Linked DNA regions of Saccharomyces cerevisiae S288C. The protein of the gene in region 1 interacts with the protein of each later gene in a pairwise test. Each region holds a gene or a part of one and is shown in the gene's direction. Other genes may lie near its edges.

Evidence for each region.
Region 2: the proteins of FRE4 (region 1) and ATO3 interact in a protein complementation assay, tested with the Saccharomyces cerevisiae proteins (one large-scale study listed by BioGRID).
Region 3: the proteins of FRE4 (region 1) and CSC1 interact in a protein complementation assay, tested with the Saccharomyces cerevisiae proteins (one large-scale study listed by BioGRID).

What each region holds. Positions count from the first base shown.
Region 1 is NC_001146.8:738,443-742,757, forward strand, and holds FRE4 (ferric-chelate reductase), read left to right. Parts: upstream 1-1,508; coding exon 1,509-3,668; downstream 3,669-4,315. Other genes in the region: MNT4 (putative alpha-1,3-mannosyltransferase), read left to right, coding at 1-103. UniProt on the Saccharomyces cerevisiae protein: Siderophore-iron reductase responsible for reducing extracellular iron prior to import. Catalyzes the reductive uptake of Fe(3+) bound to dihydroxamate rhodotorulic acid.
Region 2 is NC_001136.10:1,240,552-1,244,014, reverse strand, and holds ATO3 (putative ammonium permease ATO3), read left to right. Parts: upstream 1-1,983; coding exon 1,984-2,811; downstream 2,812-3,463. Other genes in the region: EFT2 (elongation factor 2), read right to left, coding at 1-785; NKP1 (Nkp1p), read left to right, coding at 3,339-3,463. UniProt on the Saccharomyces cerevisiae protein: Transporter protein required for ammonia export. Induced in rho(0) cells, probably to eliminate the excess ammonia that arises because of a potential defect in ammonia assimilation in those cells.
Region 3 is NC_001144.5:618,585-623,473, forward strand, and holds CSC1 (Csc1p), read left to right. Parts: upstream 1-1,888; coding exon 1,889-4,237; downstream 4,238-4,889. Other genes in the region: phosphatidylinositol 3-kinase VPS34, read left to right, coding at 1-1,576; sterol homeostasis protein ARV1, read right to left, coding at 4,334-4,889.

The sequences.
Region 1 (4,315 bases):
CACACATTATAGGAAGGGACAGTACGGAAAATTGATAGAGTTTACAGATTCTCAAAAGAAATATTACGAGAAAGTTGTAGAATTATGGAACAAGGTTGTATAGAGTATGTTTCAGTATGAGTACGGTGAATTTCCTATAAGTTTTTAAACTTTTAGATTTTTCTATAAAGCATGTTAAACCCTTCTTGACATCGTTTTCAAACGGCATCTTTCCTACGGAACTAGGCTGTTTTTGAGATATCCTTATTTAAGTTCCTCTTGGCACAATGTTATTCCCGCATTTATATTTAGTTAACATTATGTGAAATTCGCTCATAAAAAGAGCCTTAGCTCTTTCTTCATTTTGCCTCAAGAAAACTTTAAAATAAAGTAGGAATGCCAACAATACTTTTCTTCAGTAAAAGACGAATATTGGCGTAGAATTTTACCGGTAATCATATATACTTGGCTTAGAACACTGACACATGCATTTTTCTCTGGACCCTTGCACAAATCATCAGTAGCGCCTGAATCAAAAACTAACAAAATACCATATCTGTTTTAAACAAATAAGTATATCGCATGAAGTAAGTTTCCCGCACGTAAAACTACTACAACACATTTTCGCCTAGAATTATAAGAATGTTTAGTGCATTGGCTCCAAGCGAGTAATTGTACGATGCACGTGCATAAAAAGTGCTCAGTACCCAGTTCCGCTATTAGCACAGGGAAATTTTCCTTACAAGCGAGCCCTTCAATAGCTTAGGAAGTAAGGTTACTTTGGCGACGGCCATAGATGCCTGAGTAGCCTTTTTCCTTTTTCCTTCCCTCAAGAATGTGTGAAATGACGTTTTCGGGATAAAGCGGGCGCTAGCAAGAAACTTCTACTAAGAGTAACGTGGCTGAGAAGAGAAGAATAATAAAGGTATGCCATGGAATAATTTTAGAAGAGGGGGACCTGCTTCTTAGAAACACGTAATCTGAATCCCAGAGCAACTGCGTACAAAACAAGATCTTGGCTTTGTAAGCAGGAACGGCTTTTTCCGATAGAAGAACGTTTTTTGTTTTTTTATGCAAGACCGTCTAAAAATTTGCACCCTATTTAACATAGACACTCAACGAATACCATAATTGCACCTGGTTTCATAGGACCCTGAGGGAACAATACTCAAAAGAACAAAGACTACTGGTAGAGGTCCCGATATATCCCTTCACTGCCGGTGACTATGGTAAAAATGAGGTTACAATTTCTGTATCGTTAGAGAAAATTTTTTTCGTTAAGGCAAACGCATCAGCGTTTACATAGGGAATTCCTAGCGTAGTTTAATGAGCAAGGTACATCAAACCCTAGTAGTTCTTGCAGTTACACAAAATATTCGTTAAAAGCCAGTTTTTCTCCTCTTTCTTAGTCTTGGCTGACTCTCATATAAAACAACTAGAGAAGCTGAGAAAGACTCCAGTTAATCGTGTCTCCCCAGCGTCTATTTCTTGAACCTGAGATGGCTAAATAAGCTTAGGTAGGCAAAACCATGTTGTTGGTACATATTATATCTTTCCTTCTGTTCTTCCAGCTTTCGGCCGCAAAGGCCCCACCCAGTAAAACGTCTCTAATAAATACTCATGAGAGAAGGTCGATATATTCATGCTACGTTGGTTTACGTAAAGAAACATGGGGGTTCAATGGGTCCGCTATATGTCGGTATGAACCAGCAATCCAATCGATGCTTTACTGTCTTTACGAAGACACGCATGAGAAAGGGTATTCAAATAAAACTTTGGAGAAAGGTTTTGAAGAAATGAGACAATTTTGCTATACACCAAAGTTTTTGAACATGACTGATGCCGAGTTTTACACCTCATTGGATAATGGAACATACTATATACAAGATCAACCTAAAGCTGGCATCAATATCACTTATCCTATCAGACTGAACACTACACTAAGAAAAGCATACTATGATGCATACTATGGTTACTACTATAACCATGACATTCCGTATTATTTCGGGGGCATTATCTGTGCATACTTTGTGGGTGTCATGTTGCTTGCAGGTTTAATTCGTTTTTTGAATTATACCCCAATAAAAAAGATTATGTTTCAGCAAAAGCTAGTCAATTACGTGAGAGGTTATACTACTCTACCCACTCTTTATGAAAAGCATGCAGAGCCCTTCTCGTACTTAAAAGTGATAACAGGCTATCTTCCTACTAGGTTTGAAACGTTGGTTATTTTAGGCTACCTCATACTTCATACCATTTTCATGGCCTACAAATATCAATATGATCCATACCACATCATATTTGCCGCTCATAGAGCAGAAGTGGCACATTTTGTTGCGTACAGAAGCGGTATACTTTCTTTTGCACACCTGCCACTCATTGTTTTATTTGCGGGAAGAAATAACTTTCTCCAACTTATTTCTGGCTTGAAGCATACCTCATTCATTGTGTTCCATAAGTGGCTGGGAAGAATGATGTTTCTTGATGCAATAATTCATGCTGCCGGCTTTACGAACTATTATTTGTATTATAAAAAATGGAATACGGTTAGATTAAGAGTCTACTGGAAATTCGGTATTGCTACCACCTGTTTAGCGGGAATGTTAATTTTCTTTTCCATCGCAGCATTTAGAAGACACTACTATGAAACGTTTATGGCCCTCCATATAGTATTCGCAGCACTATTTCTCTATACTTGTTGGGAGCATGTTACTAACTTCAGCGGTATCGAATGGATTTACGCGGCAATAGCAATTTGGGGAGTTGATAGAATTGTACGTATCACCAGAATTGCACTCTTAGGATTTCCTAAAGCAGATCTACAACTGGTTGGATCTGATTTGGTCCGTGTAACGGTTAAAAAACCAAAGAAGTTTTGGAAGGCAAAACCAGGCCAATACGTTTTCGTTTCCTTCTTGCGTCCATTGTGCTTCTGGCAGTCGCATCCATTTACAGTGATGGATTCTTGCGTAAACGATAGAGAATTGGTCATCGTTCTGAAAGCAAAGAAAGGTGTGACAAAACTGGTAAGAAACTTTGTTGAACGTAAAGGCGGCAAGGCATCCATGAGATTAGCTATCGAAGGCCCTTATGGCTCCAAGTCCACCGCCCATCGCTTTGATAATGTATTATTGTTGGCAGGTGGCTCAGGGCTTCCCGGTCCAATTTCTCATGCCCTTGAATTAGGAAAGACAACAGCTGCAAGCGGTAAAAACTTTGTACAGTTAGTCATAGCAGTAAGAGGACTAGACATGCTCAACGCGTGTAAGAAAGAACTAATGGCATTAAAGGGCTTGAATGTTCAAGTTCACATTTATAATTCTAAGCAAGAGCTAGCTTCGGCTGAAAAAATTTCCTCAAATGAAGTCAAAAACGGTGAAACGACAGCAGAGAAGGCCCCATCTAGTCTAAGCAATTCAGAAAAAGCTCCTTCTGAAAGTGAAAATACAGAACTACCTCTTTCCCTGAATGACACGTCTATCTCCGATTTAGAATTTGCCACTTTCCATGTTGGAAGGCCAAATGTTGAAGAAATACTAAATGAATCTGTTAACCATTCTGGTTCACTTGCCGTCGTATGTTGCGGACCACCTATTTTCGTCGACACCGCTAGAAATCAAACTGCCAAAGCTGTTATCAGAAACCCATCAAGAATGATTGAATACTTGGAGGAATACCAAGCCTGGTGAACAATTTTTCATATTTAAGTAAACACTCAATGTATAATATCCTCTAACTGTTGTAATTTCATTAACGTAGATGGTTTGCGCCTTTTTTAGGGGACTCTTGTTGATTGATTCTAACTACTGAGGCTTAAGTTGTTTCAAATAACACTTTTTCAGAAAAATAATCGTATTAAAAAGCAGAAAAATCATACGTAAGATGACAGAAGCTTCATATTTAGTAACTCTGAATTGTATAACACACCAATTGCCGATAGAATATGAACCAATCGATCTTCAGCGTTCATGTACTTAATTTAACTACCTGTATTTTCTTATAAAGATAAAATTGGTGTATAATGTAAGGACCAAGAGAAAAAGGAATCCCGCATCCCAAGCAATTTCTAGTGGACTATTTCTTCAAAAAATAACTCAATAAACACCTATATAATGTTCGGAGGTTATACTTTAGTGTTTTAGAATGCAGTACCAAAAGTAATATATTGAATTAATAACTATATGATGTGTAGCTAAGAATTAAATAGTAAACGTCTTCTGAAACCTTTTAAGAGGTAATTATTGGTATTCCAAATTCATATGTGGAGGTAAGGGAGACACAAAATTATCTGGAATGACAGCGTGCTGACACCTATAAGGTTCCGTAACTTCAAATG
Region 2 (3,463 bases), on another chromosome or scaffold:
GTGTCCTTGTTGGTCCACTTCTTGGTCTTTGGGTTGAAGAAAGAGTCACCCCATAATCTGTCCATCATCTTGGCCTTGTCGACACCGAATTTCTTAGCATATCTGGTGGCGAATTGACGGATAGTGAAAGCCCAACCGTGCAAACCGGAACCGAAGGCAACGGTACCTCTGGCTGGGTAAACTTGGACATCACCCAAAACTTCATCGGCGTAGGTGGAAACGATGACGTTAACGGATTCAACAGTTCTGGCAAAGGTTTGGTATAAATCTTCCTTAGAAACTTGCAATTCCAACAAAGCTCTGTCGACCTTGTTGATAACAACAACAGGCTTGATTCTCTCACCCAAAGCTTGTCTCAAAACAGTTTCGGTTTGGACACAGACACCTTCAATGGTGTCGACGACAACCAAAGCACCGTCAGTGACACGTAAAGCGGCAGTAACTTCAGAGGAGAAGTCAACGTGACCTGGAGAGTCGATCAAGTTGATCAAGAAGGAGTTACCGTCGGTCTTTTGCTTGATTTCCTTGACATCTTCGTCAGACATTTCAGAGTATAGAGAAATAGCGGTAGACTTGATAGTGATACCTCTTTCTTGTTCATCCTTTCTGGTATCGGTGAAACGAGCTTCACCAGCCTTAGCAGCGGAAATAATACCGGCTCTTTGGACCAAGGAATCGGTCAAAGTGGACTTACCATGATCGACGTGAGCAATAACGGACATGTTACGCACATTGGTAACTTTGTCCATTAAAGAACGCATTTGGTCAACAGTGAAAGCAACCATCTTGCAATTATGTTATAGTTTGTGTTTGTGGTCTTTGAGTCTGAATGCTAAACACCAAAAGGGCAATCGTGAAATGTAAGAGAATAATATGTATAATCTAAGATATCAAGAATATATAGAAAAGAAGAATAAGCTCACAAAATGAAAAAAAACTTTTAAGAAAAAATTTTTTTCTCTCTTCGTTTTGCTCACTCCAAAAGCCTACTGCATTGTAATACCTGAAGAGAACAAACCATAACCTGGAGGACAACAGCCCAGTGTGCAGGGAGATCTGAGAAAGAAAGGAACCACACGAGAGACCCGAGAGGAAAGACCAAATCCCTTTCCCAAACTAGTTGTGTTTTTGTCAGGTTAATGCGTCTGTGTATTTCTCAGAACGCTTACGTTCCAGGTATTTCGCACCCATTTTGAATTCTCCATATCGTTTTGCACGGAAAACCCATTTATCATCTATTCTGTATATAACCACAATAGGCATCTCATTTCTTGCTTTGAAATAGTAGGTACTTTTGTACGTAATTCTTCTGGTAAAAAAAAAAGAAAAAAAAGGAAGGAATTTGGGTCTCAATTTTCACCCTTTTGTATAACAGTAGCATTCTTGCATGTAATCTCCAATATTTGGCTTGTGATTGCCATCTCTATACTTCGTCAGCCATTACCTTTTCCCCTCCCCTTCCCCTCCCCTCTCCTATTGCCGCACCGCCGGCTACAAACATAACTCCAACCATAATCTCACCGCAGCTGGCATATCCTCCGGTTTTCCCTCTCCATCGCCCATTGTGTGCCAGACAAAAGACGCCGAAAAAAACCGGAACTGCCGCCGCTGGTCCTGAGAAGAGCAAGAACCATACGGAAGAGTCTCAGCAGGCGCTGCTCCAACTTGGCACACGGCAGAACCTGCACTACAATAGCGTTAGGAAGAAGCATCATTTTTTTCTACTGTTTTTTTTTTTCTTGGGGAACCGCTCAGGGCCTAATGGAAACACCAATGGATTTGAGAATTTTAACGCTATTCACGATGACCGTGACTCAGAAGGAATATTTAAATAAAACAACTTTTTAGCAAATTGAATACTCATCGATGAGCTTCGCTTGATTGCCTAATATTCCCCCAGTTTTATAAACAGTTGGGTCACATATAACTGAATACATTCCCAGAAAGATTTAGTAAGAATAAAAAATAAAAATACTGGTTAAAATGACATCGTCTGCTTCTTCTCCACAGGATTTGGAAAAGGGTGTGAACACTCTAGAAAATATTGAGACGCTCCCCCAGCAGGGTTCGATTGCAGGCGTTTCGCAGGGCTTCCCTAATATTCAAGAGATATACTCCGACAGAGACTTCATTACTCTAGGATCCTCCACCTACAGGCGCAGAGATTTGCTCAATGCACTAGACAGAGGGGATGGGGAGGAAGGAAACTGTGCAAAGTATACTCCGCACCAGTTCGCTAATCCGGTTCCTTTGGGTCTCGCATCGTTTTCTCTGTCATGTCTAGTTCTGTCGCTAATTAATGCGAACGTTCGCGGCGTCACTGATGGTAAATGGGCGCTAAGTTTGTTTATGTTTTTTGGTGGTGCCATTGAATTGTTTGCCGGGTTATTGTGTTTTGTCATTGGGGACACATACGCCATGACTGTGTTCAGTTCTTTCGGCGGGTTCTGGATCTGCTACGGTTATGGGCTAACAGATACTGATAATTTGGTCAGCGGCTATACCGATCCCACAATGTTGAACAATGTCATTGGGTTCTTCCTTGCGGGCTGGACCGTTTTCACCTTCTTGATGTTGATGTGTACATTGAAGAGCACGTGGGGTTTGTTCTTACTATTGACGTTTTTGGATCTTACCTTCCTACTACTGTGTATCGGCACCTTCATTGACAACAACAATCTCAAAATGGCCGGTGGCTATTTTGGAATTTTAAGTAGTTGCTGCGGTTGGTATTCGCTATACTGTTCTGTGGTGAGTCCTTCAAATTCTTATTTAGCCTTCAGGGCGCACACAATGCCAAATGCTCCTTAAAGGGTATGAAATGAAAAACAAAACTTATAAAACATTAAAATGATTTAATAATAATGATAACGTTACGTTTAGACATAGTCTTTTTTTTTTTTCTTGGCCAAGAGTTTTTATAAAAATTTATATATCATTTACCCACAATACTTAGCAAATTGTTCGAGACGAAATATTCTTTTTTTGAATTGTTACCGATGGATGGATTTGTTCGAAATAAGACCCAAGGCTTAGGCATCTTTTTTTTTTTTTTCTGTAATATTTGGACTAAATATAAATCAAATTTCAAGAAGGAAGGGAAAAATCATAAAATAGTGAAGAATTCAGGCAATCAAGATTTAATTCGCATGTAAAATATCTCTTTCTCGTGAACAAAACTTTCGTTTGTACCTTTTGAGTACAGATATATTGCTTTGTTCAAAGGTGATATAAAAACGATGACGCGTCACAGGGGAAAAGAGGTAAATCTACATGCGAAGAAATATTTTTGGTAAATGTGCACAGAAACTAAAGCAACAATAGATTGTAGGAATAAGATGACAGACACATATAATAGCATATCCAATTTTATAGAAAATGAATTGACCGCACTGCTGTCGAGTGATGACTACCTCATGGATGACCTAGCAGGCGAATTACCAAATGAAGTGTGCAGATTACT
Region 3 (4,889 bases), on another chromosome or scaffold:
AGAAGAATCGGAAAGAGTAGAGGTTTTAGAACTAATGGACTCATGGGCAGAAATTGATATAGACGACGCATTAGAACTATTAGGCTCAACTTTTAAAAACCTTTCAGTGAGATCGTACGCCGTAAATAGGCTGAAGAAGGCATCAGACAAGGAGCTGGAATTGTACTTATTACAGTTGGTAGAAGCTGTCTGTTTTGAGAACCTGTCCACTTTTTCCGACAAATCTAACAGTGAATTCACTATTGTGGATGCCGTATCTTCGCAAAAGCTTTCGGGTGATTCTATGTTACTATCTACATCGCATGCCAACCAAAAATTATTAAAGTCCATCTCGAGTGAATCGGAAACTTCCGGGACAGAATCGCTACCAATCGTCATTTCTCCCTTGGCTGAGTTTTTGATTAGGAGAGCACTGGTCAACCCAAGGTTAGGAAGTTTTTTCTATTGGTATTTAAAGTCCGAGTCTGAGGACAAGCCATATTTAGACCAGATTTTAAGTTCCTTTTGGAGTAGACTGGATAAAAAATCTCGGAATATACTGAACGATCAAGTCAGGCTAATAAATGTGCTCAGGGAATGTTGTGAAACAATTAAGAGGCTGAAAGATACTACAGCCAAAAAGATGGAATTACTAGTGCATTTATTGGAGACGAAAGTCAGGCCTCTTGTCAAAGTACGACCAATTGCTTTACCACTAGACCCTGATGTGTTGATATGCGACGTTTGTCCTGAAACTTCGAAGGTATTTAAAAGCTCTTTATCGCCACTAAAAATAACATTCAAAACGACCTTAAACCAACCATATCACTTAATGTTTAAGGTTGGCGATGATTTGAGACAAGATCAACTGGTAGTACAGATCATAAGTTTAATGAATGAGTTATTAAAAAATGAAAACGTGGACTTGAAATTGACACCATACAAAATTTTGGCAACAGGACCACAAGAAGGTGCCATTGAATTTATCCCTAATGACACATTAGCTAGCATACTAAGCAAATATCACGGTATTCTTGGCTACCTTAAACTCCACTATCCTGATGAGAACGCGACATTAGGCGTACAAGGCTGGGTTTTAGATAATTTTGTCAAATCTTGTGCTGGCTATTGTGTTATTACATACATCTTAGGTGTCGGCGATAGGCATTTAGACAACTTACTAGTCACGCCAGATGGGCACTTTTTTCACGCAGACTTTGGTTATATCTTGGGTCAGGACCCCAAACCTTTTCCGCCATTAATGAAATTGCCCCCTCAAATTATAGAGGCGTTTGGGGGTGCAGAATCATCAAATTATGATAAATTTCGCAGCTACTGTTTTGTGGCATATTCGATTTTAAGAAGGAATGCAGGCTTAATCTTAAACCTGTTTGAATTAATGAAGACTTCGAACATACCTGATATCAGAATAGATCCCAATGGTGCTATATTACGTGTAAGAGAGAGATTTAATTTGAATATGTCCGAAGAAGATGCCACAGTGCATTTTCAGAATCTAATCAATGATAGTGTAAATGCTTTGCTGCCTATCGTGATTGATCATTTACATAATCTGGCACAATACTGGCGGACCTGATTGGTTGATAATTGGTGCTTCAAAATTTAAATTTCGTCACTCTAATTATACTTAACATATAAATGGTACCTTCAATATATCTTCTTAGTAAAAAGTAGCATGATTTTGTGTTAATTTGCACTTTTTTTATTTAAAAATAAAAATCACAGTTAATTTTTCATGATCTTGCAAAGACACGCCTCCCCCTAATGTGGCATATATAACAATTGTGAATCAGAAAAACTCAACACTTTAACATAATGGCGGGCACGAAGGCTAAACAAACAAGATTAGCATTGAATGCCTTTTTTGGGTACAATAGAACAGTACTGAATGACATCATATATCGAAAGGCTCAAGTCGGCAGCATCGTATCTTGATACAGTTCCAGATGAGCATCATGATTTCAGAAAACCCACCGCCAAGGTTGTAACGACGCAACTGACTATTGCTACTTCACTAGGTATTTTTGCTTTGCTTTCGTTCTCAATTCTACTAAAAAAGTGGCCTAGATTATACGCAAGCAGACGATATAAAGATGACGGGAACCTTCGCTTACCGTCCTGGAATCAGTCAAGTTTATTCGGCTGGTTAACAGTGTTGTATAAGATACGGGACGAACAGATTCTGGAATATGCAGGTTTAGATGCGTATGTGTTTTTGAGTTTTTTCAAAATGTGCATCAAATTACTTTCTATTTTTTGTTTCTTCTCTGTGTGCGTTATATCTCCAGTAAGATATCATTTTACTGGAAAAATTGATGACGGCAACGATGATGATGACAGTGAAAGTTCTTTAATACATCTGGTAAAAAGAATTGTGGAGGGAAGTGGCGATGGTGACAATCATTCAGCTCCCGAACGTACAAATGTGTACCTCTGGATGTATGTTCTCTTCACATATTTCTTCACCTTCATAGCAATTAAAATGGCAGTTGCGGAAACAAAGCACGTCGTAAGTACTAGGCAAGCTTATCTTGGGAAGCAAAATACGATTACTGATAGAACGATAAGGCTCTCAGGCATCCCGATAGAGCTTCGTGATTCGGAAGCCTTAAAGACCAGAATTGAACAATTAAAAATCGGCACCGTTTCATCAATCACTATTTGTCGAGAGTGGGGTCCTTTGAACAAGCTATTTCATTGTCGGAAGAAAATACTCAAAAACCTGGAATTAAAATATTCAGAATGTCCAAGGGAGCTCCGTACTCGACAACCATATTCGGAGAACTATCATTTATTGGGAAACGAGCAATCAGGCGCAGTTACACATGGAGAAAATGTTCCATCAAGCAATAATAATGACGAGGATACTATACTATATTCTCAAATTTCTCTTGGAGAGAGACCAAAAATGAAAATTGGATATCGTGGTATCTTTGGGAAGGAAGTAGATGCCATAGAGTACCTGGAGCAGCAATTAAAATTTATTGATGCTGAAATTATTGAAGCGAGGAAACAACACTACTCCGCAACACCTACGGCATTCGTTACGATGGATTCTGTTGCTAATGCGCAAATGGCAGCTCAGGCGGTATTAGATCCTAGAGTACATTACTTCATAACCAGATTGGCTCCTGCACCTCACGATATCAAGTGGGATCATGTTTGTCTTTCTAGAAAGGACCGGTTAACAAAAGTTTATTCTACTACCGTATTTATAGGCCTTTCAAGTTTGTTTTTAGTCATTCCTGTATCATACTTAGCCACATTGCTAAATTTGAAAACACTTTCGAAATTCTGGCCAAGCGTAGGGCAGCTACTAAAAGATCACCAGTGGGCCGCTAACATTGTAACGGGGCTATTACCAACCTATCTCTTCACATTGCTTAACTTTGGAATCCCCTATTTTTACGAGTATTTGACTTCTTATCAAGGATTGGTATCATACAGCGAAGAGGAAATCTCACTTGTTTCAAAAAATTTCTTTTATATTTTTGTCAACCTTTTCTTAGTTTTCACATTGGCAGGTACAGCATCTAATTACTGGGCGTACCTCAGCGATACCACCAAAATTGCTTATCAACTTGCTACATCTGTGAAGGAGTTCTCCTTATTCTATGTCGATTTGATTATATTGCAAGGTATTGGTATGTTCCCGTTTAAGTTGTTATTAGTTGGTAGTTTGATCGGCTTTCCTCTAGTGAAAATCAAGGCTAAGACACCTAGGCAACGGAATGAACTTTACAATCCACCGATATTTAACTTTGGACTACAATTACCACAGCCAATTCTGATTTTGATTATAACGTTGATCTACAGTGTAATGAGCACGAAAATTTTGACTTCAGGGCTGGCGTACTTTATTATTGGGTTTTACGTCTATAAATATCAATTGATTTTTGCCACAGATCATTTGCCCCATTCTACAGGAAAAGTATGGCCATTAATTTTTAGAAGAATCATCGTTGGATTGCTATTGTTTCAATTAACAATGACAGGAACACTGGCAGGATTCGAAGGAGGATGGGTTTTGTCATCTTGCCTTTTCCCGCTTCCAGTAGTGACATTATGTTTCCTATATGATTTCGAGAAGAACTATTTGCCGTTGTCAAAATATATCGCATTGAGTTCAATTCGCGAGTACGAAAGAGACAATTCTACGGTGAATTCTGCCAATGAGGAAGAGTCGTATGCATACCCTTACGCTGTGAGTGAATTAGAGGGTCCGATGTTGGATTGAAATCCCAAGGTGCTATTTCTATATTTATATATTTTGTTGTGAAAATGCCAAAATAAGATTTTTGATACAAGTAATACTGGATATTTTTTTATTTGCTTATAACAATAAATAAGTTCCTGACTTCTGTAGTAGTAGTATAAACTCCTGATGTATTAAATTCTTAATAACTGAAAAGTTAAACTTTGCCACGAAAACTATAAGTATTGGCTTAACCATGAAATATCGTAATAAAGACACACTTATAAAAATCTTTATGATATTCCAATAGGAAAGATTAGTTACAATCTTCAACGATTCAATAATATAGAGATTAGCTACCCACTTAATGATACTCATCGAAATTAGAGTATCATAAGGCCATATCAACATCAATATCGGAAAAATTTTGGCACCGTACGATAATAAGATCGTATATGATATGACATCCTTTGAAGAAACGGAATAGTGCTTCCAATGCAACTTTTTCAGTATGAAATACTGGGTAAAGGTGTGGAATAAAGAAACGTCAAGAATACAATAACTTGCAAAGTAAAGATATTGTATTGGTGGGCTCCAGGTAAACACTTTACTTGTAATGGTATTGCGCATGATTGCCGAGTCCCATTTGAAGCTCTCTGGTAATTTTTTTGAAAGCATGATGAGCTTACCATCA